Linked DNA regions of Sus scrofa. The protein of the gene in region 1 binds, or shares a complex with, the protein of each later gene. Links are inferred from orthologs where the notes say so. Each region holds a gene or a part of one and is shown on either strand. Other genes may lie near its edges. The genes, in order: POLE2 and POLE4.

The links.
Region 2: POLE2 (region 1) and POLE4 share a complex: the UniProt entries of both Homo sapiens proteins name them as parts of the DNA polymerase epsilon complex. The link is inferred for Sus scrofa from reciprocal best matches to the Homo sapiens genes POLE2 and POLE4.

Annotation. Positions count from the first base shown.
Region 1 is NC_010443.5:179,525,177-179,532,202, forward strand, and holds the start of POLE2 (DNA polymerase epsilon subunit 2), read right to left. Parts: upstream 4,716-7,026; 5' UTR 4,680-4,715; coding exon 4,612-4,679; intron 620-4,611; coding exon 519-619; intron 1-518. UniProt on the Homo sapiens protein: Accessory component of the DNA polymerase epsilon complex. Participates in DNA repair and in chromosomal DNA replication.
Region 2 is NC_010445.4:68,112,703-68,119,600, reverse strand, and holds the start of POLE4 (DNA polymerase epsilon subunit 4), read left to right. Parts: upstream 1-2,292; 5' UTR 2,293-2,348; coding exon 2,349-2,567; intron 2,568-3,167; coding exon 3,168-3,252; intron 3,253-3,917; coding exon 3,918-3,959; intron 3,960-6,898. UniProt on the Homo sapiens protein: Accessory component of the DNA polymerase epsilon complex. Participates in DNA repair and in chromosomal DNA replication.

The DNA.
Region 1 (7,026 bases):
GAAGAAAGGCTGAAACAAGAAGGGAAAGTTAGTCCTGCTCACTCATTCTTCCACCCCCCACCCCTGCACACACTGAAGAGTACCTAACATAAGTAAGACAAAGTATAGGCATGCAGAGGGAAAAAAAAATGACCATAAAGGAATCAGAGGGGAATCCACAAAAGGAAAGAACTGTAAAAAAGTCTCTGGGTTCCAAAAGAACTGCAGGTGACCCCTTGGCAACAAAGGCTACCAGAGGTATGTCTTATACCACAGGGACATCTTAAAACACTGAATCTTCAACTTTTACTTAAATCTATAAATCTGAGGATGCAGAACTATATGATCAATTGAAGAGCTGTCAGAAAATGTTCACAGGGAACTATATCCAATCACTTGTGATGCAGCATGATGGAGGACAATACGAGAAAGAGAATGTATGTGTATGTATGGCTGGGTTGCTTTGCTGTACAGCAGAAGATGGCAGAACATTGTAAATCAACTATACTTTCATTAAAAAAAATTTTAATGTTACTCACAGGGTTGCTTTTCAACTGCATCAATGATCTTTTCCAGTGCATCTTCAAGCTCTACTTCATTGATAGATTGAAGAGCTCCTGTGAGGTACTTAATAGCTTCACTGAGAAGAGAGGGAAAGAAAAGGTGAGGCAAATCTTTGGGAATTAAGGCTAAAGGTTTTATGCCCAAATCTGGCAAACACTCATCAATCTGGGATTGAAACTAAGGTCCACTCACTCCTCCCTATAAGTAGTACTCTCCTTGCCTGTGCTTTCTTTTTTTTTTTTTTTTGTCTTTTGTCTTTTTTGTTGTTGTTGCTATTTCTTGGGCCGCTCCCACGGCATATGGAGGTTCCCAGGTCCAATCGGAGCTGTAGCCACCGGCCTACGCCAGAGCCACAGCAACGCAGGATCCGAGCCACATCTGCCACCTACACCACAGCTCACGGCAACGCCGGATCGTTAACCCACTGAGCAAGGGCAAGGACCGAACCCGCAACCCCATGGTTCCTAGTCGGATTCGTTAACCACTGCGCCACGACGGGAACTCCTGCTTGTGCTTTCTGAATGAAATTTTCCTCCTATACCCTGCCCATATAACCGTTCTTAAAACCCCACATCACATGCTTCTTCTAAGAAGCCTCCCTCGACCAGCCTTATCTATTGCAATCTCCCTTTCCTTCTGAAATCACTAAAAATCTCACTTATAGGTACCTTCGATCTGCTACATCACATTAGCCTTGTACCATTTACATTACATTTAAGGCAGAACTCATTTGGCTTCAATGTACTGAACATAACAGGCACTTAAATATATATTTATTAATTTGATAATGAATTTACTTAAATTCTAGTAATTTCACTTTTGTTTTCTTTTTTTTTTTTTTTTTTTTTTTTTGTCTTTTGTCTTTTTTTGTTGTTGTTGTTGTTGTTGTTGCTATTTCTTGGGCCGCTCCCACGGCATATGGAGGTTCCCAGGCTAGGGGTTGAATCGGAGCTGTAGCCACCGGCCTACGCCAGAGCCACAGCAACGCGGGATCCGAGCCGCATCTGCAACCTACACCACAGCTCACGGCAACGCCGGATCGTTAACCCACTGAGCGAGGGCAGGGATCGAACCCGCAACCTCATGGTTCCTAGTCGGATTCGTTAACCACTGCGCCACGACGGGAACTCCCACTTTTGTTTTCAATTGTAAAATCAGAAAAAAAATGATGCTAGAAAAAACTCTGACCTTTGAATATAGTCATAGAAGTAATAATACCCATCAAAATCACATGAATCCCTCCCATCTCCCACTCACAAAGTAAATAAAGCTGCAACTTTTTTTTTTTTTTTTTTGTCTTTTTGCTATTTCTGGGGCCGCTCCTGCGGCATATGGAAGTTCCCAGGCTAGGGGTTGAATCGGAGCTGTAGCCGCCGGCCTATGCCAGAGCCACAGCAACGCGGGATCCGAGCCACGTCTGTGACCTACACCACAGCTCACGGCAACGCCAGATCGTCAACCCACTGAGCAAGGGCAGGGACCGAACCCGCAACCTCATGGTTCCTAGTCGGATTCGTTAACCACTGTGCCACGACGGGAACTCCAGCTTTTTAAAAATCAAATGAACTTCTAATTTTAATTCCAATAATACTCAGATTGAACACTGCCTTTTTTTTTTTTTTTTTTTTTTTTTGGTCTTTTTAGGGCTGCAACTGTGGCACACGGAAGTTCCTGGACTAGGGGTCAAATCAGAGCTACAGCTGCCAGCCTACACCATAGCCACAGCAACGAGGGATCTAAGCCTCGTCTGCAACCTACAGCACAGCTCACGGCAACGTCAGATCCCTGAGCCATTGAAGGAGGCCAGGGATCAAACGTGCATCCTCATGGATACTGGTTGGATTTGTTTCTGCTGTACCACAAGGGGAACCCCAAACACTGTCTTCTTAAACAATTACCTAAATCCACGCCATTGTGTATTTGCGGAACACAATTTTACACTTCACATTATCTTACTGTCCTATATCTTGGGTTGCTTCTTGTTTCATATGTGGGTGTCACATCCCTCCAATTTATTATAGATGATGCTCCTTGAGAAATGGAACTGTGTCATCCTTTGGCAGAGCGCTAAGCACACTGAAAGTGGCCCATAAATATTTGATGCCTGAGTCCCTAAAATCACACACATATTGAGTGAATCTTAGGAGAGTTTTTAGGACAGACCAAAGTAATATAGGATCTGGGCCCTACAGAATCTCATTAGGCCTGTCCAGTGTCTCTGGCCTCGGTGCTCTCCTACCTCAGGGTCTTTATACAGTCATTCCTCACCACCACCGCCCCCTCCCCATTCTTCACCTAGTCAACAAGTCCTGCTTATCCTTTAACACTTGGCTCAAACCATTCTTTAATGAAGTATTCCTTGACTCTAGAACTATTTACACACCTGGCTATATACTATCATAGCTTTCCCTTCCTCGGATCCTTTCACGATTGAAAGTAAGTAATTATGAATTATTTGATATCTATAGTAGATAGACTTCTAAGAAGATCCTTAATAATCCATACCACCTAGTACTCATATCCTTGTGCAATCACCTTTCCATGAGTGTGGGCTGGACCTAGTGACTTGCTTCTAACAATAGAATATAGCAAACATGATAGAATAGTTTACTGTATTGTAGTTCTAAAAATAAAAATTTAAAGCGACAAGATGTCACCTTCTTGCTTAGGTTACAAAAGATTTGACTTCCACTTATAGCTGACTCTCTTGCTGGCTTTGATGAAGTAAGATGCCATGCTGGGGAGGCCCAGTAGCTCACAAAGACTGAAGCCCTCAGTCCAACAATCCTGGATGAACTGAATCCTGCCAATCACTGAATGAGCTTGGAAGCAAACTGCCCAACGGACATCTGAGATGATCCCATCTTGACCGTGCAGCCTTACATGAGACTCTGAAGCTGAGGACCTAGCTAAGCCCACCTGAATTCCTGACCCATGGAAAATGAAGGACTATAAGCGCACGAGATTTTATTTTTAAATTATTTTATTATATTAATTTATTATAGTTGATTTACAATGTTCTGTCACTCATGACATTTTAAAGTTCTAAATTTGGGGGTAATTAGTTATGCAGCAATAGACAATTAACATACTATCTGCCCCCAAGGTCTGCTGTGTCTTATTCCTACTCCCTTGCCCCAATAGTACTTCGCAGCTAATAGATTTCAGTCTCTTTCTGACTGAACTAATGAATGACAGTTCAATATCAGGTCAAATTCTAAGTGAAAAGAAAGAAAAATTAACTGAGCAAGTGCTCACATTTTCAAAATGTCAGGGATCAACTAAACAAAATTCATTATTCTCTCCTAGAGCATATCGATTCTTACCCTTGTTCACCACTAACCCAAAAGCAAGGTTAAAAGTCCCATAAAACTCATCATTACAAAAGCAACCCAAAAAACCGCTACACACACAAGAGCAATCAAAACCTGATACCTTGGGAGGGTTCATTCTATAACTAATAGAAAACACAGATATGGTCAGGAAACCTATCAGAGAAATTCTAAAAGAATTTTTTTAAAAAGGCCAAGGATACCTAGAAACACGCTTCAAACCTACCCGTTTCTTAACTCTCCAGGAATTCTCTCTCAAGAATAATACCCGATCCAAAATTAGGAAGGCTGGCAGAGCCCACAATTGCTACAGTATAACCTGACAGCTACCGAAATGCAATGGGCTTTCCCAGGTCTCTCATTCGCTGTCTCAGTAACTAGGTGAAGCAGCACGGTTAAGGATTCCTATTTGGCGGAGCCCTAAAGGGGGCTGAGAGGTGCCCAAGCACCCTGCTGGTGCACCGCTGCTGCGGCACCGATCACTGCTTCTCCGGCTGCTTGACACGTGCAGGAAAGCCTCATTTCTTTCGGGAGAAACTTTTCACTCCGTATGAACGTTGGGGAAACCTAAGGCATCGCCAGATCCTCTTCCCTTCTTAGAACCCTTGAAGGGTCTCTATCATTTTAAGGCCAAACCCCCTCTCCGCGCGCGGTGCATCCCGCTGCCACGCCGCCTGGCCGGGCTTCCTGGCTCAGGCTCTCCCCTCTCGCCTCGCCAGCTGCCCTGCCGACTTACCCCCGGAGCAGCAAGCCGCGGAGCTTAAAGGCAGAGAGAGCCCGGCTCCGCAACCGATCCGGCGCCATGTTCGCGTTTTGGCGCCACGGCCGCAACCCCGCCCCTTCCCGGGCGCGCTCCGCCCTGGCCCCGCCCCGGACGCACAGGTCCCGACAGCTGCTGCTCCGACCTTAGTGCGAAGATTTTGGCAGCTTCGCGTGCAGGCTGGCTGAAGCTTCGCAGGGTCTGGGCTGCAGGAGAAGAAGTCCCTGCGGTGCTTTGTTGCTCGAAACTGACGAGCGAGAGCTTCCTTCCCTAGTGTCTGGTTGGGAATGGACTTCCCCTATATTAAATGCTTCATTGAGCTAATCAGTGCTCTATCATCGCTGCCCTCCACCTTCCTTGACTCGGATCAGGCTCATCCCGGACCCAGGGCTCTTGTGCACTTACGTTCTCTGCTTCACACAGGCCCTGGAAATACTCTGTGTCACCACAGGGCTTTCCCCGACATTCACTCGAAGTTGCTACGCATCACCATCATTTTCACCCATCCCGCTTTTAATTGCAGTTGCAGACTTTCTATGCGTCATGCACTACAATAAGCGCTTTAAATGAATTAATGTCATGTTCATAAAGCCGAATGAGTTGTGTGCTATTTTTTCAACATCCTCATTTTACAGTGGGGAATGTGAGACTCAAAGATGGTGGATGGCTCGTTCAAGATGAAAGATTTAGTAAGTAAGTGGTAGAGCCAGGATTTTAACTGATTCTGATTCCAGCAAGTGGACTGTTAATCTGCCACTCTTCAAAACTCTTGCTCCGAAGATTTGAATAAAACCATGCAGTGCTTCTACGTGAACACACAGTCTTAAAAAACCGTGAGGATGCTTTCTAAGAAATGATATGCCATGACCTCCAGGGTGTCTGGATAAAATCAATAACAAAGAGTAAAGTATGGTAAAGGAGAGGAAATAAGAATATATATACATATTTATTTGACTTTGTATTTTTAAAAAACCTCTGAAAGATTACACTGGACACACACAAAAAAGGTTAACCATTAAAGGCTGAAGGAGATAAGGAGGAAGAGAGACCTTTCTTTGTAGTCAGAATATTGACTGTCAAGCCATGTTTATGTTTTACAGTTTCAAAAAAGAGAAAAGAAAAAGAGCAAACAAAACTGCAAGCAGACCAAAACCAATATACCTGTATTGGTAATGCAACATAACAGAGAAAAGTGACTTCTGAACATAGTTCTCTGTATATTCACGGTGAAATACATTCCAAAAATTTTAAAAACCTGCAAAAAAAATTTGAACTTTAATGTAAGAAAGGAAATAAAAATAGATAAATATACAGCTGATTTTCATTATTCAAGGCGATTATATTCAAGGCAGTATTAGTATTTACTAATACTGAATTAGCAAATACTCAATCATTGCTCCTACGAGAAATACAGGGTAAGTTTCCTCTGAGCCTCTGGCCACAAACTTTTCATTGACTGATTAATAATACTCTTGTTTTATGTGTGTTTCTGTTGAAAGACATCTTTAATTATATATTGTTGATTCGTTAACACTGAACTCAGAGCCAGCAGCACTACAATTCCTGCCTGATGGAAGTTTATCTAGCACACGTGTTTTCTTACAGCCTGCTAATGCTTTGAAAACTAGAAAGTATTTCAGCACTATGCTTGGCATCCACCTTAAACAGCAAAATCACCAAATATTCTCTTGGGGAAGCCAGCTGCCCTCAAGCAATTCTTAGAAAGGTCCATGTGTTAAGAAATGGAGGCCTCCTGCCAATATCCAGCACCAGCTTTCCATCCACATGTCAGTGTTTGTGAGCAATTTCCAAAACAGATCTCCCAGGGAGTTCCCTGCATGGCTCAGCAAAATGAATCTGCCTAGTATCCATGAGAATGCAAGTTTGATCCCTTCGCTCAGTGAGTTAAGGATCTCACATTGCCATGAGCTTGGTGTAGGTCGCAGACGAGGCTTAGATCTCACACTGCTGTGGCTGTGGCCTAGGTCAGCAGATACAGTTCTGATTCAATCCCCAGCTTAGGAACCTCCATACGCCATAGGTGAGGCCCTAAAAACACCAAAAAAAAAAAAAAAAAAAAAACACACCAAGAAAACGAAAGAAAAAAGGAAAGAAAGAAAGAGGGAGAGAGAAAGAAAAGAAACAGATCTTCCAGGCCTGGTGAAGTCTTTGGAGAATCACAATTCTGTCCAATATTTTGACTTCAAACTCATGAGAGACCACTCTGAACCATCCAGCTGGGCTGTTTCTAAATTCCCTACCTATGGGAACTGTGTGAAATAATAAAAATTTTATTTATTTATTTATTCCCAATGCAATTTGGGGAATCTTGAATACGGATTAGATATTAAATAACATTGAGTAACAATTGTTAATTATTACTTAGGTGTG
Region 2 (6,898 bases), on another chromosome or scaffold:
ATGCCGCAGGAGCGGCCCAAGAAATAGCAAAAAAAAAAAAAAAAAAAAAAAAAGAAAAAGAAAAAGCAAGAATGTTTCAAGGAGGCAAAGACTATAAAGACAGATATAAAGTTTATTGTAGAAACACAGTAGAATATGTGGGAGAGCACACAGAGAACGAGTTTATCTAAGATGGAAGCAAAATACATTAATACACACCCAAAAGAGGAGTGTGGGTGTCCCCCGGAATGAGGAGTGTGCCAGGGAGGCAATTTAAATCACTTATATAGGAAGTTCTTCTGGGTCTTTGTTTTCCTTTGGCCAATTATCTTGTTTTATTTCTCATACCTACTGGACCAGGGCCATCTCAGATATGCATGCATGTTTTTTTTTGTCAAGATGGTTTCCAGAGCAAAGGACTCTGGGATGGTATCAGGACTTATTATGGCCTGGCGCCCCTCCCCTTTTGACTCCTAGGAGGTTTACTGCATATGTGTAATTGGGGAGCTCTCCTTGACCCCCAGAGTGATTGAAGTGGTCATCTTATCTTTCTACTCCAGCAGAGCTCAGCTCTTGCCGTTAACTTTCCCCTTGAGGTGTCAAAAGAAGCAAGTCCCAATTTACGCAGCCCAACAAGTCCCTGCTCTTCTTAGCCCAGGGGGCCATCCACCTCCTATCTCAGACTGAAGATAAGGTGTGATGTGTTTGGGGAATACTGTAACTGAGCAGGACCCCGTGACGCCTTCCCAGAGTGGACCCCCACTCGTGCCCTCCACCTGCTTTTTTATCTACAGAGAAACTTTAGTCAAAGAATCAATTTAATCAGAGAAAGAAAATACAGAGAAAAAGGACAACAGTCAAGCAAGACAGAATAATAGTTTAGCCATTCAACAAAGTCAAAGACCTTTTAATGAATTGTCCTGCAAGGACTATAGATAATATTCTGAGCCATGTCCTTGGAGCTGTTTTGCAGGTGCTGAAGCCCCTACCAGGTGGAAGACTTCGACTGTATGCAGCCCACAAGAATATAGACCCCAGTCTGGTTGGAACCAGAAGGTTAATGACACTGACTCTTAATTATCTCACCACCCACTCATCAAGAAAATGCCCAGGAGCTGATCACGCCCTGCTCCTCAAACACTGTAAGACTCCTCACTACACCCTCCAAGGGAGTACAGGGGGGTCACAGTCCTTGAGTCACTAGCCTGCTGTGTTCCCTCTTTGACTGGCAATTAAAGCTACTTTCTCTGTTTCCTCCAACTCTACACCTTTCTGTTTGGCATTGTGTACAGAGGCAGCTGATATTTCCGGCAACAGTAAGGAGAAGGTGTCCAATAATCACCTTGGTGAGTAGGCAAGTAAGCAGAGCACGGTGACTGCTGGCTGCCTTGATTCTCACTTGAGACTAATGTCAAGACTCCTCTCCAATAAGAGCTTGGTGGGATGGGTGCTTTCTCATGTTCCTTCCGTCCTTGGGCTTTCCACACCAGCCCTGGGAGCCTATGTGTGATTCCTCTATTTTTTAGACTTCTCCTTACTCACTCATAGTCAATCCTGTTAGAGTAACTTTTTTTTTTTTTTTTTGTCTTTATGGGGCCGCACCTGTGGCATATGGAGGTTCCCAGGCTGGGGGTGGAATCAGAGCTATAGCCGCTGACCTACACCAGAGTCACAGCAACACCAGATCTGAGCCGTGTCTGCGACCCACACCACAGCTCATGGCAACGCTGGATCCTTAACTCACTGAGCAAGGCCAGGGATTGAACCTGTGTGTCCTCATGGGTGCTAGTCAGGTTTGTTTCTGCTGTGCCACGACGGGAACTCTTATAGTTTAACTTTTATGTTAAACTTTCTATTCAAATTACTTTCCCTGTTCAAACTCTGTGTAGTTTCCTTTTCCTAATTGGACTGTGATGCAGATGAGGTTTCGTCATGGGAAAGAGGGAAGAATTGTTGAAGCGATGCCCATCATTTACTTCTTTCCCCGCCTACATTTTTATTTCTCCTACTTTACTGTCTCCTCCAGGAGCATATACATTTGTCCAAGTTTCTCCTATATATTTCTATTACTGCTGTTTACTTTTACAATCAAGTTCTCAAAAGAGAGCTCAACTAGGTAGGACATCGCGTGAGATGCAAAGCAAACTGCAAAATCGGACCACCAGACCTCAGAAGCGCTGTGAGGGATAGAAAAGATTAAACGCCAGCCCTCCGCCTCTCTCACGGGATACTCCGCCACGCTGGCCGGTTGGGGGGGGGGCGGAGTCACGAGCCATCAGGGGGCGTGGCTGCCAGTGCGCGCGGGAAAGGGGCCGGCACCGCCTGCGCGCGCACAGTCGGCGGCCGCGCGCAGCACGCCCGGGGCCCGGATGGCGGCCGCGGTGGCGGCGGCAGCTGGAAGTGGGCCTGCCCGGGAAGAGGACAGCTCAGCTGGGGAGGCGGCGGCCCCGCAGCCCCAAGCCCCGACAAGTACGCCTGGGGCTCGTCTCTCGAGGCTACCTCTGGCGCGAGTGAAGGCCTTGGTGAAGGCGGACCCCGACGTGACGCTCGCGGGACAGGAAGCCATCTTCATCCTGGCACGAGCCGCGGTGCGGCGGGGAGCGCCTGGGTCACCTAGTGGGGCGGGGCGGGGCCTCGGGGGCCTTTCGGAAGGGCGGAGCTTAGCTGTATTTGGGGCCAAATTTGAGATGTGAGCGTGGGCAGTAAGAAGGCCATCTGGGGCAGGTTGTGCTGAGGCCCGAGAGGTTAGAGGGGTGCTGGGGCCGGATACTGAGTTGTGAGTATCGGGAGGGAAGACAGAGAAAGGGTCACATGCAGTACTTGTATTGGTTTCGTAGGACCTACCTCTTCCGCGACTTTGATTTGTGTCTCTAGTCTAACTTTATAACTTGTTTCAAGTAAGTGAGTGGGGTGAATCTTCAGAGTGAGGGAGGGACAGACGTGTCTGGACTACAGCAGGAGAGGGGAGGGGAATAGACTTTTATGAAGTCCAGGAGAAATTTCAGCTTCCCTGAGAACCTCCCCGTGCATCTGTGCCCTCTTCCACCCTTGGCCCCCACTCAAACAGGAACAAGCATTTGCACTAGAACTCGTGGATACAACTTTGCTTATTTTCTTTTTTCTTTTCTTTTAATTTTGGTTTGTTTATTACAATTTTTACTTTTTTCCCCTTCTGCTTTTCTTAATAGGAACTGTTTGTGGAGACCATTGCAAAGGATGCCTACTGCTGTGCTCAACAGGGAAAGAGGAAAACCCTTCAGAGGAGAGATTTGGGTAGACTGTCACTTTGGTGTCTTGCATCTGTGGGTACACAAGGGAGGGCTGGGCGAGACTCTCCTTACACTAGTTGAGAAGGCATCACTTTAAGATGAGGGACACCACAGGTCTCTTCCTATGATGTTTTCTGTTGAACTGTCACTGTGCCAGAAGATCGTGCCTCTCGAATGTCTGTTTTGGTTGGCTGGAGTGGTGTTGGGACAGAGAACCAAAAGGAGCCTGGATGTTGCCAAAGCTAACTAGACCCCTTTATTCCTTCTGCTATATTGTACCAGGCTTGTCGTTTTTTTTTTTTTTTTTTTTCCACCTAGAAAGGATAGGTTTGATTTCTGACTCTACTTTTTTCTACTCTAGAATGTGTGTAAATTTTCGTATACCACAATCTCACTTTCCTTGCTCTATAGCCAGACTCTCTTCTCTGATGACTTTCAGAGGAAAGAGGTTCCCCCCAGGGAACAGTATTTACCTAGGCTGTAGAGAGACAGCTGATACGTAGTATTTGGTGGTGGAGAAGATGTAGATCTCAAGATAGCAAGGGACAAATTTTATAAATGCTTATTTGCATAAAGCCTCAGGCCCTTCATTGTGTGTGTTGTGCTCTTGTAAGAGGTTTGATGCCTGTGTCCACAGTTAATCAGGTGTCCCTTTACCTTGTGTTTCAGATAATGCAATAGAAGCTGTGGACGAATTTGCTTTCCTGGAAGGTGAGTTCTCTATCAGGGGGTAGTCCTTTCCACTTGCCTTCTTTCCTTCCTCCTTCCTTCCCTCCTTAATCTCCTTCCCTCTTTATCCCCTTCCCTTCTTTCCTTCCTTTCTTCTTCTTCTTCTTCTTTTCTTTTTTTTAATGGCCACAGCCATGGCATATGGAAGGGATATGGGATTGAATCCAAGCCTCAGCTGTGACCTGCACTGCAGCTGCAGCAAAGCAGGATGCTTTAACCCACTACACCAGACCCAGGGATCTAACCAGCACCTGGGCAGCAACCAGAGCTGATGCAGATTCGTAACTCACTCTGCCACAGCAGGAACGCCTCCACTTGTCTTTCTCATGCTAAAATCTGAGTTCAAAACCTTATGAAATTGATGCCTGGTTCTTCCTTGTTCATGTAGGAGTAATTCTATTTCCTGTTAAGATAGGAAACACAAATTACAATTCAAATTCCTTTGGGTAATTAGAACTTTATGAAAACTGCTAACCATGAACAGTGGGAGGGACTGGAAAGACCCCAGTGGAGTTGGGGGATTTTCAGAAGTTTGTTTCTGACTTTGAGCCCCATCTCTAGATATAAATCTTACCCCTTATCATAATGCTAGAGATCAGAAACAATTGCCAACGTTTAAAGGGTTACCTCTTGTTCTTTTTTCTTCTTCAACAATCTCTCTAAAGTGATGATTTTGCCGCAGTGAGATTCTCTACTGGCCTGTATCTGTTTGTTCTTAAGAATCTTGGATTAACTCATGTGTACTAATTAAATCTTGTCATTGAAATAGAAAATATCTGAAATACCTCATTTTAACTCTCTTTACCTAGAGCTCTCTTCCTGCTGCCCCTAAATCTGATCAGTTTACTCTTCCCTGCATATAGATTGATTGAATAGTTTTGGAAAAGCCATGTACCTTTAGTTTCTCACTTTTAACGACCAGGGTTCTGTTTACCTCCTCAAAGCCTTAATACCTTCACATATCTTTTCTTGAATTTTTTTTTTTAAAGGCTGCACCTGAGGCATATGGAAGTTGCTGGGCTAGGAGTCAAATTAGAGCTGCAGCTGCCCTCGTATGCCACAACCACAGCAACACTGGATCTGAGCTGTGACTGGGACCTACACCACAGCTCACCACAATTGCCAGATCCTTAACCCACTGAGCAAGGCCAGGGACTGAAGCTGCATCCTTGTGGATACTAGTCAGGTTCTTAACCTGCTGAGCCACAGCAGGAACTCATCTTTCCTTGAAGTATTTATTTCACTATTTTTACTCCTTGGTTCTGCATCTATAATCAACTGAGGTCTCTGGCCCTTTTGAGATATTCTTTTAAATGCCTTTTAAGGTACATTCCCATGGTTAGCATTAAGCTTAGATTATTGATTATTCTCTTAATTTGTAGATTTTCTTTTTAAAGCCTCTTTTATGCTTAACTAATTTTTTTTTGGAAATAACTTATTAGCTCCCTACCTAAGGTAGGCAATGTCTTGTGACTGACAGCCTGTCAGTTCCTCAATCAAAAATGTTTGGAGCTTATTCTACCTGTTTATATTTTAATTTTAATTTTTTTTTTTTTGGCTACACCTTTGCCATATGGAAGTTCCCAGGCCAGGGATGAAATCTGAGTTGCACCTTCGACCTATGCCACAGCTGCAGCAATGCCAGTTCCTTAATCCACTGTGCCAGGCCAAGGATCAAACCCAGGCCGCCACCAGAGACAATGCTGGATCTTTAACTACTCTTGTGCCACAGTGGAACCCCTTTACTTTCTATTTAATTATTTTAATTTTAAAATATGGAACACTTTATGAATTTGCCTGTCATCCTTGCTCAGGGGCTGTGCTAATCTTCTCTCTATGGTTCTAATTTTAATATATATGCTGCCAAAGCAAGCACATCTATTTATTTATTTTTATTTACTAACTTCTCGAAGAAATGAGTGATATGATCAAATTTCTATTCAAAGATGTAAACTTACCAACCTATGGAAGTAAATTGGAGGGTCCTGGGAATAAAAGTGGAGAAAAACATAGGAAGTTTTCTGCTTTAGCCTATACCATGCATAGTGCTTGGTTTGGATTTTTTGTTTGTTTGTTTATCTTTGCTGAAACGTTTTATTTTATTTTTTTAAATCTCTGTTATTATTTTTGTTTTTTCCATTATAGCTGGTTTACAGTGTGCTTTCAATTTTCTATTATACACAAGGTGACCCAGTCACACATACATGTATACATTCTTTTTTCTCACATTATCATTCTCCATCATAAGTGAGTATATATAGTTCCCAGTGCTATACGGCAGGATCTCATTGCTTATCCATTCCAAAGACAATCTCTCTAACCCTAATTCCCAGTCCATCCCACTCCCTCCCCCTTGACAACCACAAGTCTGTTTTCCATGTCCGTGATTTTCTTTTATGTGGAAAGGTTCATTTGTGCCGGATAGTAGATTCCAGATAGGAGTGATATCATATGGTATTTGTCTTTCTCTTTCTGACTTACTTCACTTAATATGAGAGTCTTGGCTTGGATCTTTAATAAATGTCTATTTAATAAGTGGTGGAGATATGTTCATTTTCATCTTGGATTCAATAATCTCACTAGTTGAATCCCTCTGTTCTGTCCTACATTAGTAGATCTGAATTTTGATCATTTTAACCCCCATGGATTAAGTCACTGTTATATTATTTTGTACCTGGTAAAATATTTTTATGTCTTTGGATGTAGATGAGTTTCCTGCTGTGATAAGTGAAGATTTGGTTAATCTATACTACACCATCAATCCCTTGCCTCCTTTCTGATTTTTGGTAATTTTATCATTATTTTTAGTTCCTCTGTTACTTTTACAGTTTATTTAACATACTAAAATAAGTATTTTTTTGTTGTTGACTCCTTACTTTGTGTGGTACGGTTTTTCAGTTTCTACACTCAACCTACAAGAT